Linked DNA regions of Schizosaccharomyces pombe. Changing the gene in region 1 together with any one later gene gives a genetic interaction. Each region holds a gene or a part of one and is shown on either strand. Other genes may lie near its edges.

What was found. A genetic interaction does not mean that the proteins touch.
Region 2: of sid1 (region 1) and dnt1, a mutation in one rescues a mutant of the other (synthetic rescue), as found in Schizosaccharomyces pombe (one study listed by BioGRID).
Region 3: of sid1 (region 1) and pab1, a mutation in one rescues a mutant of the other (synthetic rescue), as found in Schizosaccharomyces pombe (one study listed by BioGRID).

The regions. Positions count from the first base shown.
Region 1 is NC_003424.3:1,983,826-1,991,726, reverse strand, and holds sid1 (PAK-like GC kinase Sid1), read right to left. Parts: upstream 6,030-7,901; 5' UTR 5,971-6,029; coding exon 5,854-5,970; intron 5,798-5,853; coding exon 4,499-5,797; 3' UTR 4,365-4,498; coding exon of another isoform or gene 4,256-4,364; 3' UTR 4,219-4,255; coding exon of another isoform or gene 752-4,218; 3' UTR 493-751; downstream 1-492. Other genes in the region: inp53 (inositol polyphosphate phosphatase), read left to right, coding at 752-4,218, 4,256-4,364; putative mitotic spindle organizing protein Mzt1, read left to right, coding at 6,183-6,377; SPOM_SPAC9G1.08C (phospholipase), read left to right, coding at 6,434-7,159; SPOM_SPAC9G1.07 (Schizosaccharomyces specific protein), read right to left, coding at 7,289-7,474, 7,520-7,901. UniProt on the Schizosaccharomyces pombe protein: Has a role in the septation initiation network (SIN) required for cytokinesis.
Region 2 is NC_003423.3:3,714,445-3,719,164, reverse strand, and holds dnt1 (nucleolar protein Dnt1), read left to right. Parts: upstream 1-1,946; 5' UTR 1,947-2,113; coding exon 2,114-2,256; exon of another isoform or gene 2,257-2,308; coding exon 2,309-3,965; 3' UTR 3,966-4,220; downstream 4,221-4,720. Other genes in the region: MCM complex subunit Mcm7, read left to right, coding at 1-1,527. UniProt on the Schizosaccharomyces pombe protein: Negatively regulates the septation initiation network (SIN) pathway, independently of the cdc14 phosphatase clp1. May also have a role in silencing rDNA transcription. Required for maintaining the exclusive nucleolus localization of nuc1.
Region 3 is NC_003424.3:507,022-511,586, forward strand, and holds pab1 (serine/threonine protein phosphatase PP2A regulatory subunit B-55 Pab1), read right to left. Parts: upstream 2,873-4,565; 5' UTR 2,671-2,872; coding exon 2,627-2,670; intron 2,583-2,626; coding exon 2,542-2,582; intron 2,465-2,541; coding exon 1,182-2,464; intron 1,160-1,181; exon of another isoform or gene 1,139-1,159; coding exon 1,115-1,138; 3' UTR 501-1,114; downstream 1-500. Other genes in the region: yip5 (Rab GTPase-binding protein), read left to right, coding at 1-271; cleavage and polyadenylation specificity factor complex subunit Yth1, read right to left, coding at 3,648-3,699, 3,759-4,049, 4,146-4,315. UniProt on the Schizosaccharomyces pombe protein: Phosphatase 2A affects a variety of biological processes in the cell such as transcription, cell cycle progression and cellular morphogenesis, and provides an initial identification of critical substrates for this phosphatase.

The DNA of each region.
Region 1 (7,901 bases):
TGAACCATACTATCATCTTTTATGGTCCTTCATTTCTAATACATAATGTCAAACGTCTATCTTGCCTCCCGTATAAATTACATTCTTTAGACAATCAATTAACTATATGATTTTATTTTATTTTTTCTATGCCTTTATACACTCTTTTATTGTGGTTTTATTCAACGTATAGTACATATGCTTTCATAAGTTGCTCAATTTTTATATAATTTTGATATCGAATAAATTTTCTGTATCTTATAAAATTTCTTGCATAAGTACTTAAAATTTCTCGTTTTGTGTCTTTCTGAAATAAAATTGTGCAATGTGTGTTTATAGTCAATGCTTAATAATATGTTACAAATATTTAGCTACATGACAATATGATCTTTCATTGCCTTGAGAATGGCTTTCAAAATTGTTTCTATAAATGTGAAGTAAACTATTTAGTTAAGCAATACAAATGCCTAAAAAATATTTGATAGTTTTTTGGAATTCCTAATTTGTATTATGCGAATTTCTACATCATCTTCCCTTTTGTTTTCTGTAAAAATGATTATTTGGAGTATTGTTGATGCGTGTGTTTGAGTGCACGAGGCTTTGTTTATTTCATAATAGGTCAGCCCACGCAGTGTCTTGGTTGTCTTTTTCCAACAATTAGCTGAAAAGCGCAAAAGGTCCAAACAGCACCTAATAGATTTTAGAAGTATTTAAAAAAGGTGATTTATTTAAAAAATTGATTTAAAGCATAAGATTGTCGTAATCATGGAACATGGCCTCTCGCCAAGGCTTCAGCAATGTGAATGAAGATGAACCCGAGTTGCCCCCTTCGGTTTTATCATTGAAATCAAAGTTCGAGTCATTGAGTACCGGTGACCTAACTAATTTGGACGAAAAAACTGCTAAAAGAAGAACTGTAAAAGGTTGTAAAAATGGCACTTCTGAGCCAAACGTTTTTAAAGCAAGACCTATTCCACCGCCGAGGCAAGTCTCATCGACTATAGGAAGTTCGACTGGACGAAAAGTTAGTGGTTCAATTCAAAGGCTAGCTTCTAATTTTAAAAATCCTTCAAACCCCCACGCTGATGTTTCAAAAATAGATCGTCTACCTAGTGATTCTTCTGAATCTCACGTAGCTACTCCATCTTCTCCTACTATATCTAATTCATTTGTTTCTGTTTCTCCATTACTTAAGCGACCTCAACAAAAAGGGCCTGAAATTTCTTTTCAATCATCTGTACAATCTACCAAAGGAAATGATCTAATGAAACACGATGATACCAATAATCATCAAATACCACCCCCTAAACCCAATTTTTCTTCGAAAGCAGGTTCTTCAAGCCCGATATCTGTATCTCCATTAAAAAATGTTAAGGCATATATTTCTCAGTCTCCAACTCACTCCGAAGCCTCTTCGGTTCTGTCTTCTGAAGAAGAAGAAGAAAACGTTATCAATTCTAGTAAAAGTGTGCCCTCCTTTGATTTGCATGATCCATTTAGCCAGACCTTTGGAAAGGAGTGTCCCATATCGACGGCGCCTCCTGTTTTGAACATTGGAGACAGGTCTTTGGAAACTCCTCCTCCAATTCCCTCTCCAAGACCTCCACAGCCAGTTGCTGTTGAGGCTATACAGCAATCGCGTGCGGTAATATCTCAACAATTACCGCTTCATGTATCTCCCCGAAAGCCCCCAAAACCACCGCTGCGTAAAGTTTCTACCCAGCGCTCTTCTTCCCCAATAGAGAATTTGGCTACTAAAAGTGACGCCAGTCTTGTTACTGGTTTACAGTCGTCTCCCTACACTCATATTGCTCCTGCATCAGAGATGTCTTTAATACCTGAGAAACCCAGATTACCTCCCCGTCCTAGTCACACTTTATCAGAACTGTCTAGTCCAGCTTTAACATCTGAAAACTTATCTTCTAAACCATCCCCTTTGTTTCCTCCACCACCACCGAGGGTGAAATCCTTAGCTACTAACAAACCTGTCTCTATGCCTGTTTCTACTGAGCAAAGTGATCCTTCTGTTGCTGCTAGTTCCTCTTCGTCATCGCAATTAGATGTTGTTTTAAAAGGAAGCATACCAGATACTTCTAGCGTTAGGAGGAACCCGCCCTGTTTTGTTAACGGTGTTGAATCAATTAACGTAGATTTTGAAGCTAGAATCTTTGATGTTAGTGGTGATCGCCTTGTTTTAGCTGGAAACGGAGGACTTCGTGTTTATGACACCGTTACTGGTCTTTGTCATTGGCATATGCCTCTAGGGGATACGAAGGTAACGTCCTTATCATTTAAATCATCCCCGGAGAATTACTCTGACGATGGCAGATTTGTTTGGTTTGGAACGAGAGATGGGATGTTATGGGAAGTCGATGTTCAAAATCATCATATCGTTACTAAGAAGTCTGTTTCCAATTGTCCTATTACTTACGTTATGGTCTATAAAAATGAAATGTGGACGTTGGACGATATGGGAAAACTGTATGTATGGCAGGAAGATGAAATTATGGGTTTAAGTATACAGTCTACTCCACATAGTATTCGCACCATTCCTCATGCCACTCATGCTATGGTTTTAGATAATCGGCTTTTATGGGTTGTTGTTGGGAAATCAATTTATGTATATGATCCTTCAACTTCAGAAAATGAGTCGGCAAGTGTTTTGGCGAAGCCCATGACTCCACCTGGTTTGATAGGTGATATCTCTTGTGGCACTACTATTTCAAACTTTACGGATTTGGTCTTCTATGGTCACGTTGATGGAAAAATATCCATCTTTTCGAAAACCCAATACCGTTTTTTGGAGCTAATTACTAGCAGTTCATTCTATAGAATTTGTTCACTAGTTGGTGTTGGAAATACACTTTGGGCAGCCTACACGACAGGCATGATTTACGTATTTGATGTTTCTGAGAGTCCTTGGCGCCTCTTAAAAAGTTGGCATGGTCATAAAGCAAGTCACAATGGAGCTACCACTATACTTGGTATTGATGTGAATAGCGTATGGAAAGCTAAAAGGCTCCAAGTTGTTAGTATGGCTTCTTCAGTTGTCAAGTTTTGGGATGGTTTAATGATGGGTGACTGGTTAGCTACCGAAATGCGAAGCCGCTTCCCAGAATATAGTAATTTTACTGACGTGTCTATACTTATTTGTTCCTGGAATGCCGGAGCTTCAAAGCCATCTGATCTAGATAGTGATACTATTGGAGCTAGTATGATTCCAATGATGATTCGAGACAATGGATACCCAGATATAGTTGTGTTTGGTTTTCAAGAGCTAGTTGATTTGGAGAATAAAAGACTCACAGCTAGAAGCATCCTTTCAAAGTCGAGCTCCAAAGGTGGTTCGTCTAACAGTGCTAATATTTCCAGTCAGTATCGTTTATGGCGTGAAAAATTAGAATCTGAAATGATGCGGGTAAGCTCAAACGATGATTATCAGGTTTTGGTATGTGAAAATTTGGTTGGTCTTTTCTCATGTGTTTTTGTAAAAAATAAGTTACAAAGCAAAATTCGGATGTTACAATCGACAACTGTAAAAACGGGACTAGGTGGTTTGCATGGTAACAAAGGTGCAATAGTCGTTCGCTTTCTGGTAGATGATACTTCATATTGCATAGTAAACTGTCATTTGGCTGCTGGTCAATCCAATAAAGCAGCCAGAAATAATGATTTGGCAACAATTTTAGACAATGCTTCTCTTTTTCCTGAAAATGATGAAACTGATCAATTGAATACATTCGTTGGTGGTGGCGATGGCTCTTTAATTATGGATCACGAAGTTTGTGTTTTGCATGGTGATTTAAATTATAGAATCAACACATTGAGACCTAAAGCTTTAGATTTAATTAAAAAAAACGACATAAAAACTTTGCTCCAAAGCGATCAGCTTCTTGTTGAGCGAAAAAGAAATGCCGGATTTCGTCTGAGAACATTTACTGAACCAGAAATCACGTTTGCCCCAACTTACAAGTACGACGTTCATAGTGAGCAGTACGACAGTAGTGAAAAAAAGCGTGTGCCTGCCTGGTGTGATCGTATCTGTTATCGTGGAAGTCCCGACTACATCTCTGCAGAAAACTATACCAGGTACGAACTGAAGGCATCAGATCACCGACCAGTATCTGCTTTAATACATTCCAAAGCGAAGATGGTAAATGCGCAATCTCAGGGGTCCACATGGGACGTGGTCAAACGAAAGTGGATTGAGTATGCTGATGAATTTAAGAGAAAGGCTAAGTATGTTTTTTTTTGGAGAATTTTGCTAACCAACCAGAATAACCTATGTCATGAATTATACTTCTGTGTCTTATCAAACGGCTGAACAATATTTGTCTGGAAATAACTGGAATGTACAAAATGCTTTAAAGCAAGTGTCAAGTTGATTTCGAATAGTTCTCGTTTGGATGTGTTTATATATATTATGTAGATTAAATTATAGTAGAATATGCCATTATAAGTTCATTTAAATACAAAATTGTGAATGCTGTAAACAGGTTGTTTACGAGTTTTTAGTAAGCTATCCATTTAGACTTCTTCTTTTCTCAGTTTCTTCAAGCCACCGTGAAAATAGTAGTTGTGATATGGGGCTCCGCTTTTGCTTTTTGTGATGCAGTCTGTTGTCTGGAGTAATTTGGTTAACAAATTTTGAGGACAGATTTTTATCTAAAGAAATGAAAGATGTATAAAAAGATTCTAAAGATGAGCGCTGCGTTGCTGACAATTTATCATTTAATAACATCGATCGTATGGTGGACTTAATATAATGTTTCATAGCAAAATCGGAAGTCAACGATTTATGATAAGAGCTACCTTTTTCAGACAATGACTTGGAAAAAGGATGCGGTGTCGCTTGATCACTCATTATAGTTTTCTCTAAATATTTTATTGATGAAGGCAATTCCTCTTTATTTTGTGAACTGATGATGGAATTTTTAGGAATGCTAGTATTCCCTAACACAGTTGAGTCAGATTTCTTTACAGTTTCAAATGTCCAATCCTCAATGTCAGCATTTCCTTCAGCAATTGGTTCTTCAAAGGGCTTTAAAGTATTATTTATGGTTTCTTCCAATACACTTTGATCCGAATCATCAAATAATTTATTCTCCTTCTGAACAAGCAAAGGAATAATGTCTTTCACAGTTCCTGCGCTTTTGATGAATGGGTGTTGAAGGAGTTCTTTAGCTGACCATCGCATATTAGGATTGAGATCTAAGCAGCAGGACACAAAATCACGGAATGTTGGACTGAAATGATCATCTAGCTTTGGAGGCTCGGATTGAGGAATTTCAAAGATGACACGCATTGGATGCATTGTAGCGCGGGGCGGAATTCCGTTAGCCATTTCAATAGCCGTAATTCCAAGAGACCAAATGTCAGCAGCTAAACCATAACTTGTTTGTTGTATTACTTCCGGTGCCATCCAAAATGGCGTTCCAACAAACGTGTGTCTACGCGAAGCAGCGTTCGAAAGTTGAGCGGCAACTCCAAAGTCAGCAAGCTTTACGTTTCCGGTAGAGGAAGATAGTAGTATATTGGCGGCTTTGATATCTCTGTGGATTTTGTTTTGTCCATGAAGATAATTTAGCCCATAAAGGACCTCTCGAAGAATGATTGAAATTACTTGTTCATTCAACCTTCCCATTTTCAAAAGTCCCGAAACTGATCCTCCATCCATATGCTCCATCAAAATCCATAATGTGTATCCGTCAACAAAACAACCGTAATACTGAATTACATTGGAACTGTTGCAATTCGATAACATAAATACCTCTTGTTCGATGTCGGTAATGTCGTCAATACCTGTTTCTAAATCAATCTGCAACTGTAAGTTTTTTGTGATACTAAAGAAGAGTAAAAATTAATTAGTCTTACCTGTTTAATAGCGATAATGTCGCCAGACACATTTTCACGTGCTTTCCAGACAACCCCAAATGAACCTGATCCTAATTTCCGTAGCAGAGTATAAGAATTAGCATTGAGAGGATACATTTCATCAATATTTTGACTGCTCAAATCTGAGGTTGAGCCTACTTTCGGTTTCGTTTTACAAGCACAAGCTAGATGCACCACGAAGTACTTTGTTTATTACTTAGAGGATTATAATGAGCTACTCCGAGACGCCTATTCCAGTAAACTTAACATTACCAACTTGTTACGAAGTATATATAATTAGACTAGTTTATTATAAAGTATCGAGTTTTATGTCTGAATCTACCAAAGAGACAATAGAAGTTTTATACGAAATAGGAACATTGCTTGGAACTGAACTTGATAAAACAACGCTTTCACTCTGCATCAGTCTTTGTGAAAACAACGTACACCCAGAAGCAATAGCTCAAATAATTCGGGAAATACGTATGGCTCAGGAACAAACTGTTGACACAGAACCAAGTTAATGGCAAGAAGTTTAATCTCAATAGTTGACCTCGGGGTTTAGTATTTCTTTTATCTAATGTCTTCTTTAAACAGTGTTCTACCTTCAAATGCATGCGCAGAGATTATTGAAGGGAAAGACAAGGTTCACAATGTAGTTATTTTAATGCATGGACTTGGAGATTCTCACAAGAGTTTTGCAAATATGGCAAAGAACGTTCCGTTGCCCAACACTAGTTATATTTCCTTACGTGGACCATATCGATTACCATTAGATTTTGAAAATCCTGGAGGCAATTGGATGTGGGGAGAGGATGTCCATTTTGATCAAAACGGGGAACTGCAATCTGAAGCCGATTTCTCTAAAAGTTTTACGATGATTTCAAATTTAATTGGCAATCTACTCTCTTACGGTATATTATCTTCTAGAATATTTTTTTTCGGGTTTGGTCAAGGAGCTATGGTTGCTTTATATAGTTGTTATAAATTGTCTACTAAATACCAGCTTGGAGGGATATTTTCCTTTGGAGGTACTCTACCGCTATCCATAACTTTGCCCAATCATCCATTTCATGTTCCAGTGTATTTGTTTGAAAAGCGATTGCATTGTTCATGCAGCGAATATGAAGAATCGCGATTACGTAAAACATTTAAACCATTTCACCTCACATGTTGGAATCGTGATGATAAAACTGACATGCCTTCATCCCCTAGAGAATGGTATACATTCGTTCAATCTATTAGTAAACATTTGTATATTCACAACACGTTGTTTGAAGATGCAATTCCTCTTACATCTTTTTAGAATTGATTTATTTAAGTTAACATTTGTTCACAATAAAGTTAATATTCATTTGGGCATAGATATAACAATAACTCCTCTAGCCATTATGTGATTAAAATTAGTACGTTTACCTTTTGATCATTAAGATTTTCAATCGACAAGATAACTAAGATCCGGAAGCTTATCAACAATTCTATTAATTAGTTGATTTTGGTCAACTGTTTTTATATTTCCACGCCCTGCTCTCTCATTATTAAGAAACGAAGTATTGATCGATTGAATAACAGCCGGAGTGTCTTTAGGAGCTGACAATGAAGTAGAAGGTGAACTAAAATTCTGAAAAATTAGAGTATTTGGCTCAACTTGAGACTCTTCACTTACATCATCAACGGAAGCAGAAGCTAAATTCGATGAGTTTTTCGAGGTATCTTGGGAACTGACCCATGAACCCCATTCAAAATTATCAGAGGTTGGATCCGGGGAAAGAGACGTTGATGAATTTTTTTTCTTCGTTTCTCTAATTTTTTCTTCAGAGTCAAGTTTAGCGATTGATGAATGTTCTTCGACTTCATCAACTTTTTTACGATCCAAACTTAGTGGTGATTTTGGAACAACTTCATCCTCTTTATTTATTGAAATTGTAGAACAACTGTTGCTTTCCCTCTCAATCAATTTGACTGGGGAAGAAAGGAAAGTATTTGCAGATAATTTGTGATCCTGTTTAACAGCAACTGTATTATTTAAAAGAGCCGTAGAAGAAGAA
Region 2 (4,720 bases), on another chromosome or scaffold:
TTTCAGGAAGTAAAAATACAAGAATTAACGAACCAAGTACCTATTGGCCATATCCCTAGATCATTAACCGTCCACTTATATGGTGCTATCACTCGCTCTGTAAATCCTGGCGATATCGTTGATATTTCTGGTATATTTTTGCCGACTCCGTATACTGGTTTTCGAGCAATGCGCGCCGGGCTCTTAACCGATACTTACTTAGAATGCCATTATGTTTCACAAATCATTAAAAATTACACAAATATTGAAAAAACTCCTCAATCGGAGGCTGCTATCGCTGAATTAAATCAAGGAGGCAATGTGTACGAAAAACTGGCCAAGTCCATTGCTCCCGAGATATATGGACATGAAGATGTTAAAAAAGCTTTACTTCTGTTGCTTGTCGGAGGTGTTACTAAAGAGTTAGGGGATGGAATGAGAATTCGTGGTGACATAAATATTTGTTTAACTGGTGATCCTGGTGTCGCAAAATCTCAATTATTAAAGTATATTTCGAAGGTTGCCCCGAGAGGAGTATACACCACAGGTCGTGGATCTTCAGGTGTTGGTTTAACTGCTGCTGTAATGCGTGATCCAGTGACGGATGAAATGGTTTTAGAGGGAGGTGCCTTAGTACTTGCTGACAACGGTATTTGCTGCATTGACGAATTTGATAAGATGGATGAAAGTGACCGTACAGCAATTCATGAAGTAATGGAACAGCAAACTATTTCAATTTCAAAGGCAGGAATCACTACGACTTTAAATGCTCGAACAAGTATTTTGGCCGCTGCGAACCCCTTATATGGACGATATAATCCGAAAGTGGCACCAATCCACAATATAAATCTTCCAGCTGCACTGCTTTCCCGGTTTGATATTTTATTTTTAATTTTAGATACTCCTTCTCGTGAAACAGACGAGCATTTGGCACAACACGTAACATATGTTCACATGCATAACGAACAACCTAAAATGGACTTTGAACCATTAGATCCAAACATGATTAGGCATTATATTTCTTCTGCTAGACAATATCGCCCAGTCGTACCAAAGGATGTATGCGACTATGTTACTGGTGCTTATGTTCAACTTCGACAAAACCAAAAGCGTGATGAAGCCAATGAGCGTCAATTCGCTCACACTACTCCACGTACACTTCTCGCTATTTTGCGAATGGGACAAGCATTAGCTCGTTTGCGTTTCAGTAATAGAGTGGAGATTGGCGATGTTGATGAAGCTTTGAGATTAATGTCTGTTTCAAAGTCATCACTATACGATGATTTGGATCCTAGTTCTCACGATACTACTATTACCTCGAAAATATATAAAATTATTCGAGACATGCTTAATAGCATACCAGATGTTGAAGGCAATGAACGCTCACTTACACTACGTGCTATTCGTGAACGCGTACTTGCTAAGGGTTTTACTGAAGATCATTTAATAAATACAATACAGGAATATACAGACCTTGGTGTTCTTTTAACTACAAACAATGGTCAAACAATAATGTTCCTCGATCCGGATTTACATATGGAGAATTAACAATTTACTAATAGATAACTCCTATCATTTAATTTTTCTGCCAATTAATTGCTTTAAGCTAATTTACAACCTATAGAAATTATTCTGAGACGTCAAACTACTTTTCTGTTGAATATTCTTTAATTCTGACTAATACATCTGTCGTTCTTTTAATCTATGATAGTTTATTTACTTGTATTCAAATGTTAATTCACGCAATTGAAAGGAAGATATATTAAGCCAATATGTTTCGTTAGATTTGGAAGGACCATAAAACCTTAAGATACGTGTCAATATGCTCGAGTCGTAGGAATGAGTAATGAGTTTTTATTTCTTGACATTTAGCATTATTTTACACCTTTAACTTGTTCATCACTGCTGTCCCACCCTTCCTGCTGTCATGCCGAGTAAATTGCGAATAGAACTTTACGCACTTCCTTAGAGCAACCAACTTTGGATACCCATTGGTGTCAAGAAATGGGCATTCCATTTTAAATAACTTACTTTGTTTTAACGTCTTTTTAATACTGATTAATTCCATTATAACTAGTTTGCCGGATCCACTTCTCCGTAAGAATCAAATAAAGAAATTTGCTGAATATTCGAAATGAGAACTACATTAAGGCTTCATATAATCAAAGATGGTGAACAAGATAATCAATTTATGATTCTGTTTGACCCATCTTCTTCAATTTCTTTATTAAAAGAAAAAGTGCAGGAAACTTACAAATCACTTTATCCTTTTGAATCGTAAGCATAGCAGCATGCTCCATCTTTCTACTATTAACGAAAATTATTATAGAAATATAAACATAAGAAATATAAAAAATGAAGAAAGCTACGACATTCCTAATGAGTACTTAGTCGGTGAAATCTTTCCCACTAATTCCAAGGTCATTGTCGAATCATTCTCTTCTCCGTTGAAGAAATTAGATGGGACTATGATAAACTTCAAAGAAAAAAATATTCAACATGATTTAGATGGCGTTGAAAATGATTTCGCTACTGTCCAAAGTGCATCTAATGGTGTTCATGCAATCAATGGGAAGCGTACGCATCCGGATGAGAGTGAAAACCCTCGAAAACTACCAAAAAAAAATTTTGTAGAGGCAATTGATGCGAACTCTCCTGGATTTGTATACAGACCAACTAGTATTCGCGATCGAGCATACTCAATTTCTTCAAATCATGATAATGAAAGTACATTAACCGAAGGGATTGCTTTAAAAGAAATTGAAAGTCCAGATAAAGATAGAAAGGCTGACGGTATAGTTAATTTATCAGTTACTCAGGAGGAAGATGATAATCACCAATCCTTCAATAGTTCCTTAACACCAAGTCAACCAACAACTTATAATCGAGCTAACTTTTTTTCAATTAACGATGCGTCTTCTGATTCATCGTCAGATGCTCCCTTGCGAACTTTATCATCGCCTTCCCGTCTTCGCATGAAAGATAATGATAGAAAATATTTAGTCGAACATTCTCCTGCCGCATTAATTAAAGAAAGTGAAACCATTGATGGAATTGATGATAAATCATTGCGTTCTTCTACTCGAGAAGTTTCTGTTGAAAGCCCAAATGAAGATTCAGTCAATGATGACAGTTCATCAGATGTATCCGATGAAAAAGAAACGGAGGCAAAGCATGAAATTAGAGCTCCTGCAATAATAGTTAGAGAAACTTCATCTCATCCATCCACTGCCGTTCCTTCCGAAAACGATACCACCGAATCGGAGAACGATACCCTTTCTGAATCCTCTACGACCTCTATATCTTCTTCCCCGTCCGAAAATTCAGATACTAGTGATGATTTAACGAAGGTTGATAGCCCGAATAAATCTCTGGTTAATGATAACGTTTCAGCTAAGCATGATAAAGAAAGTGAGAATGGTAAAAGCAAATTTCCCCCTCCTTCCCAGACCCTTGTTACTACATCGACGATATCTGCAGCGGGAAATGAACCTTCTGATGAGATTGGTTCTGAAAATGATTCAGATTCGGATTCAGACTCGGACTCCTCTGTTCCTTTAAGTCAACTACAGAAGAAATCACAACAACGAAATTCTGTATCTCACGAGATACAGAATAGAGGAACCAAAGGATCCCCGAAGGAACCTAAAGCTAAGCCTTCTACGGAAAGACCGGAGACTCATAGGACATTGTCTTACTCACGTCTTTCAGAATTGTCTAAAACGTTTTCTCCTGAAATTAGAGAACCTTCTCTTACGAAGAAGACCGCGGTCAGTATGCAGGAATCAAAAGAAGAAGGGCGTTCTGATGAATCTTCTGAAAGTGAAGAGTCAGGGAGTTCTTCAGATGAAAGCGACAATTCGGAGAAGGAAGATAGATCCAATCCTATTCCCGTTGAGAAAAGAGCAAGTACTGTACTAAATACAAAGAAAAAGAGGAAAGCCAAAAGAAACAGTGCTTTGGCTGGCTTGGCGGCCCTAGTGTAAATTTCTTGTTTTTGATTAACTCCCTTTACGCTCGTTTTTTTTTTTTTTTTCATCATAAGTCCAATAGCAAAAGAATTCTGTAATAGCGTTGTTGTGCTATCATATTGCGTATATAATAAATTTAGTTTTCTTGGCTTTCTGCATAATTTTGACTTATTAATAAAATTACATGTTAATTAGCTAGCAAAACTTGATTTAACTTTGATGCTGATAAAAAGATGTTGAAATTCTAAATGGAACGTTCTTTAATGTCCATTAAGTTGCTTCATTTCAAATCCTTTTTTGATGACTGATTGTAAAATTAAAACTGCTAGTTGTAGGAAACAGGAGACCAGACAATGACAGTAATTAGTATATTAGTAAAATTTTCCGGACTAAAATTCGTAAAAAAAAAGAACAAATTAGATTACAATATTCAAATATTTTCACGAGCTTTAGTATTTATATTATTATAGGCAGTACCTAAATTCACAAAAAATGCCATTATTTGTTGTATAGTAATTACTTTACCCTCGACATTACTCATAATGGTTCAATAGTGTTAACAAAAACTGATATTAGTAAAATCTTTCTATTCTTTAGTATGTTTATAACGAAGACCAGCTAAACATGAATTTCTTGATCCGGGCAAACTAACTGCGTATAGTTGATATTATGCAAAGTGAACGAACTTATTTATTTGTAGTAAAATAATAGCTCTATAAAAGTAAGATGATCGAAAAGAAACTTATCACACTCTTACTATAAAGTGCTTT
Region 3 (4,565 bases), 1.5 Mb from region 1:
CTGTCTGTGTTTATATGGATATGCTAACATTGTTTGGCTTCCCGTTTCTTTAGCAACTCCTCCGTTTGGATTGCTATCTACTTTGGCCTCCCATATTGTCAAATATGTACTTACAGGGATTGGTTTGTTAATTTCCATTGTGTTTTTAACTAGAAATTTATATCCTATCTGTCAGCAAGCCGGATCAAATTTGTGCAAACTTTTATTGTTCGGAATTATCGTCTTTCACTGTTTGCTCGCTTTGTCTCTTCAACTCATATTCTTCAGTTAATATCCTAATTTGTGAGGAGTTTCTTTTATCAGTCGCATTGCTTCATTCGAAAATTATACTATTCCCCTTCTTTCATTCTTTAGAAAAGTCATTCAGCATTTAAGATCCTATTGAGTCTAAGTGTTGGTATACTCTATATGATTCAGTTTATACATATATTCGCTTTACATTTGATTTTCTACTCTTTTTACTATAGCTACTAATGTTCCCTCAATTTACTAGGTTTTTTTTTCAGGTGCAAAATACGTATAAATAATCATTTCTTATGCATTGATGAATCATGCCTTAGTAAAAATAATTGTAGCCTTTTTAGTGAACCAAAGACTTTATGACATTTAGTCATATTTTTGCAATCGATCTCCCGTCATTTATATAGAAAACTTAACACATTATTACTCGTTGTTCAACAAAAAAGAGCTGAAGGTAAATTAATGGTGAAGCTTAACCTGAAAAGTACTTTTACGATTTCAAATTCAGATTTTTTTCAACAAGAGAAAAAAACTTTGTGAGATATTGAAAAAACGTTGAAATTTACGATGCATCACCACAATTTCAAGATTAAAAAGGAACACGTAAAAAGAGAAAAAGAAAAATACTGTGGATAGCAAAGTACATATGTATCGATTCACGGCATACATGAAGGGAGATAAACAAAGCACCCTTTTATCATTAGTCCTAAAAACTTTATTTCTGTCATTAATGGTTAAAATGGTGTGTGTATATAAGAATACAATCTGAAAGAAGAAGGTAAGAAAACTCTTATTCCCGGAAGTTCAATAAAAAAGGAACTATGTTCAGTCTATCCGTAGATCATAAAAACAAACCAAACTCCACATAAGGACATTAGAGCTTAGAGAAAACAAAAAGCTATTGAAACATTAGTAAACAAAAAGTTGATAAGCAAACGTACATTATTAGTAGCGGCGATGGCAACTGAGTCTTCAAAGGGATGCCAACTGGCATGTAATATCTTCTTATTGTAATCCAGGTTATCAGGATCAAGGCCAACAGAAGCAGATCCCATCGCAGCTTGAGGTTGTGACCGCCAATCATTATTTTTCACAGCATTCAACTTTGGAACGTTATTTGCAGCAGATTTTCTGGCTCTAAATGCAGCCTTGTCGGCTTGCAAAACTATCTGTCCTCTATCGCCAGGCAAAGAACTATCTGTGGGGTAAATCCCAAAGTTGTTGCTATAACTTCCTGATAAAACGTGTTTGTCGTCACCAGAAAAGGTACACTCGAATTTATCAAAAATACAGTCATTTTCATAGAGATCGCATAACTTTGATCGCAAAACATCATGCAATGGAATAGTTTTAACGGGAGCTTTTTCCATGTTGACATCCCATATCTTAAGAGTTAAATAATCTCTTGAAAGAATATAGCGGCCATTTTGTGAGAACTTAACGTCTGAAATGCTAGAGATGATTTCAGAAAAGAAACTCTTGGAATCTTGATCTTCTTGATCCTCGAAAAGCTTACATGGATTATCGCAGAGCGCAGATTGACGCAAATCTAAGAGTTTGATATTTCCCTTGCTGCTACTATACATGAGATGATTGCAGTTTATCGGGTGAAACTCGGCACTAGTAATAACTTCCGTAAGTTCTTCCATATTTTCAGGTTTAATGTCAACTATGTTGAATGAATGATCGGAGATGGACAAGTTCCATAAGTTGATACGTAAATCATCAGCGGAAATGTAAGTTTCTGCATCAGAGTTAACGCTAATCGAATTAATATGATATGCGTGTGCATTAGCGTAAACACGTCGTGGATATGCAGCGATAATCATGTCATGATGGTTGAGTCGTGGGAGTCGAAGTTGCGAAGGTGTTGTCAAAGGTCCTTGCATAGGACTGTGGAAACTGTCCGACAAATTATTTTCGGCAACGACTTTCAAATTCTTTTCATATAGTTTCCACAATTTTATAGTTTTATCATTCGTTGAGAGTAAAAAATGCGCTCGATTAGTCCTCTTGCACCAGCGAATTTTATTGATCTTTTCTTCGATTTCTAAGGACTTGAGATAATCAAACTCGGGTTCATGACTTTGAAATTCAGTAAAAAACTTATACTCACAACCCTTTTTCGAATGATTTCGCTCAAAAAGAACGACTCTGCCACCTTTATCGCCGGTTGCTAGATAATCACCTGTGTGGTCGAATTCTACTGCTGAAATGATATCGGCTAAACTTGTTAGTCATTTATTCAGTGATTAAAGTAAAAGAGAACTCTTTTATGAGAGAACTACTCAAAACCAATACCTTCAGTGATGTCTTCCACATCACCCTTGTCACCAAAGCATCTAAAGAGTTAGTCATTAATTTTTTTCACACATCGTTTACATACTGGGCAAATTTCCACTGATCCAAAGAGTCTTCTATATCATCCATCTTCTACTCGTATTATATTAAGATTTCGTTCCCGTTGGTACACTTTGCCAATTTCAATTGTATACGAAGATCTTGATCTTCAAATTTCTAAGGGTATCTCTATACCGTCTTTGGATCTTTTTTCAAAAGTTTTGATACAAAGTTTCCCAGTTTTCACTGGCTTTTTTGGAGGGCTGCTGATTTTCCTAACTTGATGGTTCGTATCAAATGCTGCTACCCTAACGAATCTACACCACTCTTCGGCGAGTCAAAAGCTCAGTAAAATTTTTATCGGTAAATCAAGCCTTAAGCGACTTTAAGTTATTAATGGATTTTTGATAAATACAACACTATTTCATTACTTCAGTGTTCATCTTACGCTTTACTACACATAGGATTTTTTGCTCAACTTTACAAAGTCCAGTGTAAAACTTGTTGGCAATTTCCCATTAATGAAACCTTAATCATTTGTACGCTAAAGAAAGGTGTTTTTGATTATAAAAAACTAGAAGTTCATTGTCATATAAAAGATCCATATTGTTTTTATAGTTTGCAAAATTGAATACAGCAGATAAGTAAATTACAAAAAAATAAGAAACATAACTGGAAAGTAGCAAATATTTTACGAATAACGTATGAATGATTAAATGAATAAACCGTCCTTGATACATTACGATGGCGCTCTACGTAAGCGTTTTACATACTGGTAAACGATACTTAAGTTCCTAAATTTTCTTTTCCTTCTATGTTGCAAAAAACATATGTAAAAGGGAGACTTATTATTTAAAACTTATTTTTCGGTTTCTAAATACTTCTATTATCCCGATTATGTGTCGATTTGGTTCGCCGCAACCAAGACAAACCCAACGTCGATAATTAATTTTATTCCATAAAAAAAAATCTCAATAATCAATGTACGGCATCACTAATTGCATATACTCCATTGATAACTTGATTTCATTACCTAATATACAGTGACACATTAAAAAACGCATCCTTTACCAGTCTTTCCGCTTTTGAGGAGGATGCGGAGGTTCAGAGTGTTTAGGACTAGAACATGTTAGTAATAGAAAGAGAAAGTCAACACTATAATTCTTCAAAAAACTTACTGAGCATCTGGGCAATTAGGGCCTAGCGGACAAAACCCAGCTAAATATTTTGGGCAAGGCCTTGGTTTTCGTACATGTTTGCCTCGACATATAGGTCCTAAAGGACAAAATCCCATATTATACCAGGCACAGACACCAACTTGTTTACTGGGATCCAAATGGAGATATAAACACTCTTCGCCATTAGAACACCAGCCGCGCTCTGCATAAAAGTGACATGGAGGCATCTTTTTTAAATTGTACTCGTGTAAAAAATCACACTGTTCACCTTTTTTACAAAGTCCACGAAGCCTTATATAATATTAGTTATCATGAAGGTAGAAACAAAAACAAATAGAAAAATACATGAAATATATATTCATATTACTCTTCTTTATATATACATACCAATGCTTGCAAACCACGCTACCCATTTTCGATCCAGAATCGCGTCCATTTCCAGAGTTTAGCAAGGCAGACCTTCCGAAATTAAAATTTTGCTTTAAATAGTTATCAAAACGAAATTGAACTGAAGAAAAATCAGCTGCTATAGCTTTATCTTTGATATAATCAGTCATTTTGTAGTAACCAGTAGATGGCGGAGGCAACGTTGTTCAGTTGACTTGAATATCACAAATACTTTATTGACTGGCATTCACATACTATAAATGATGCTTATTAAACTAGAACGAATTAAATTATTCTTATAATATTCATGAAATCGCTATTGTTTTAAGGTTTTCTTCATAGGTATGTTTGAAACCTAAGTAAAGAATGATATTATGCAGCATACGAATAAAATAACTTTTATAAAACATATTCTTTTTA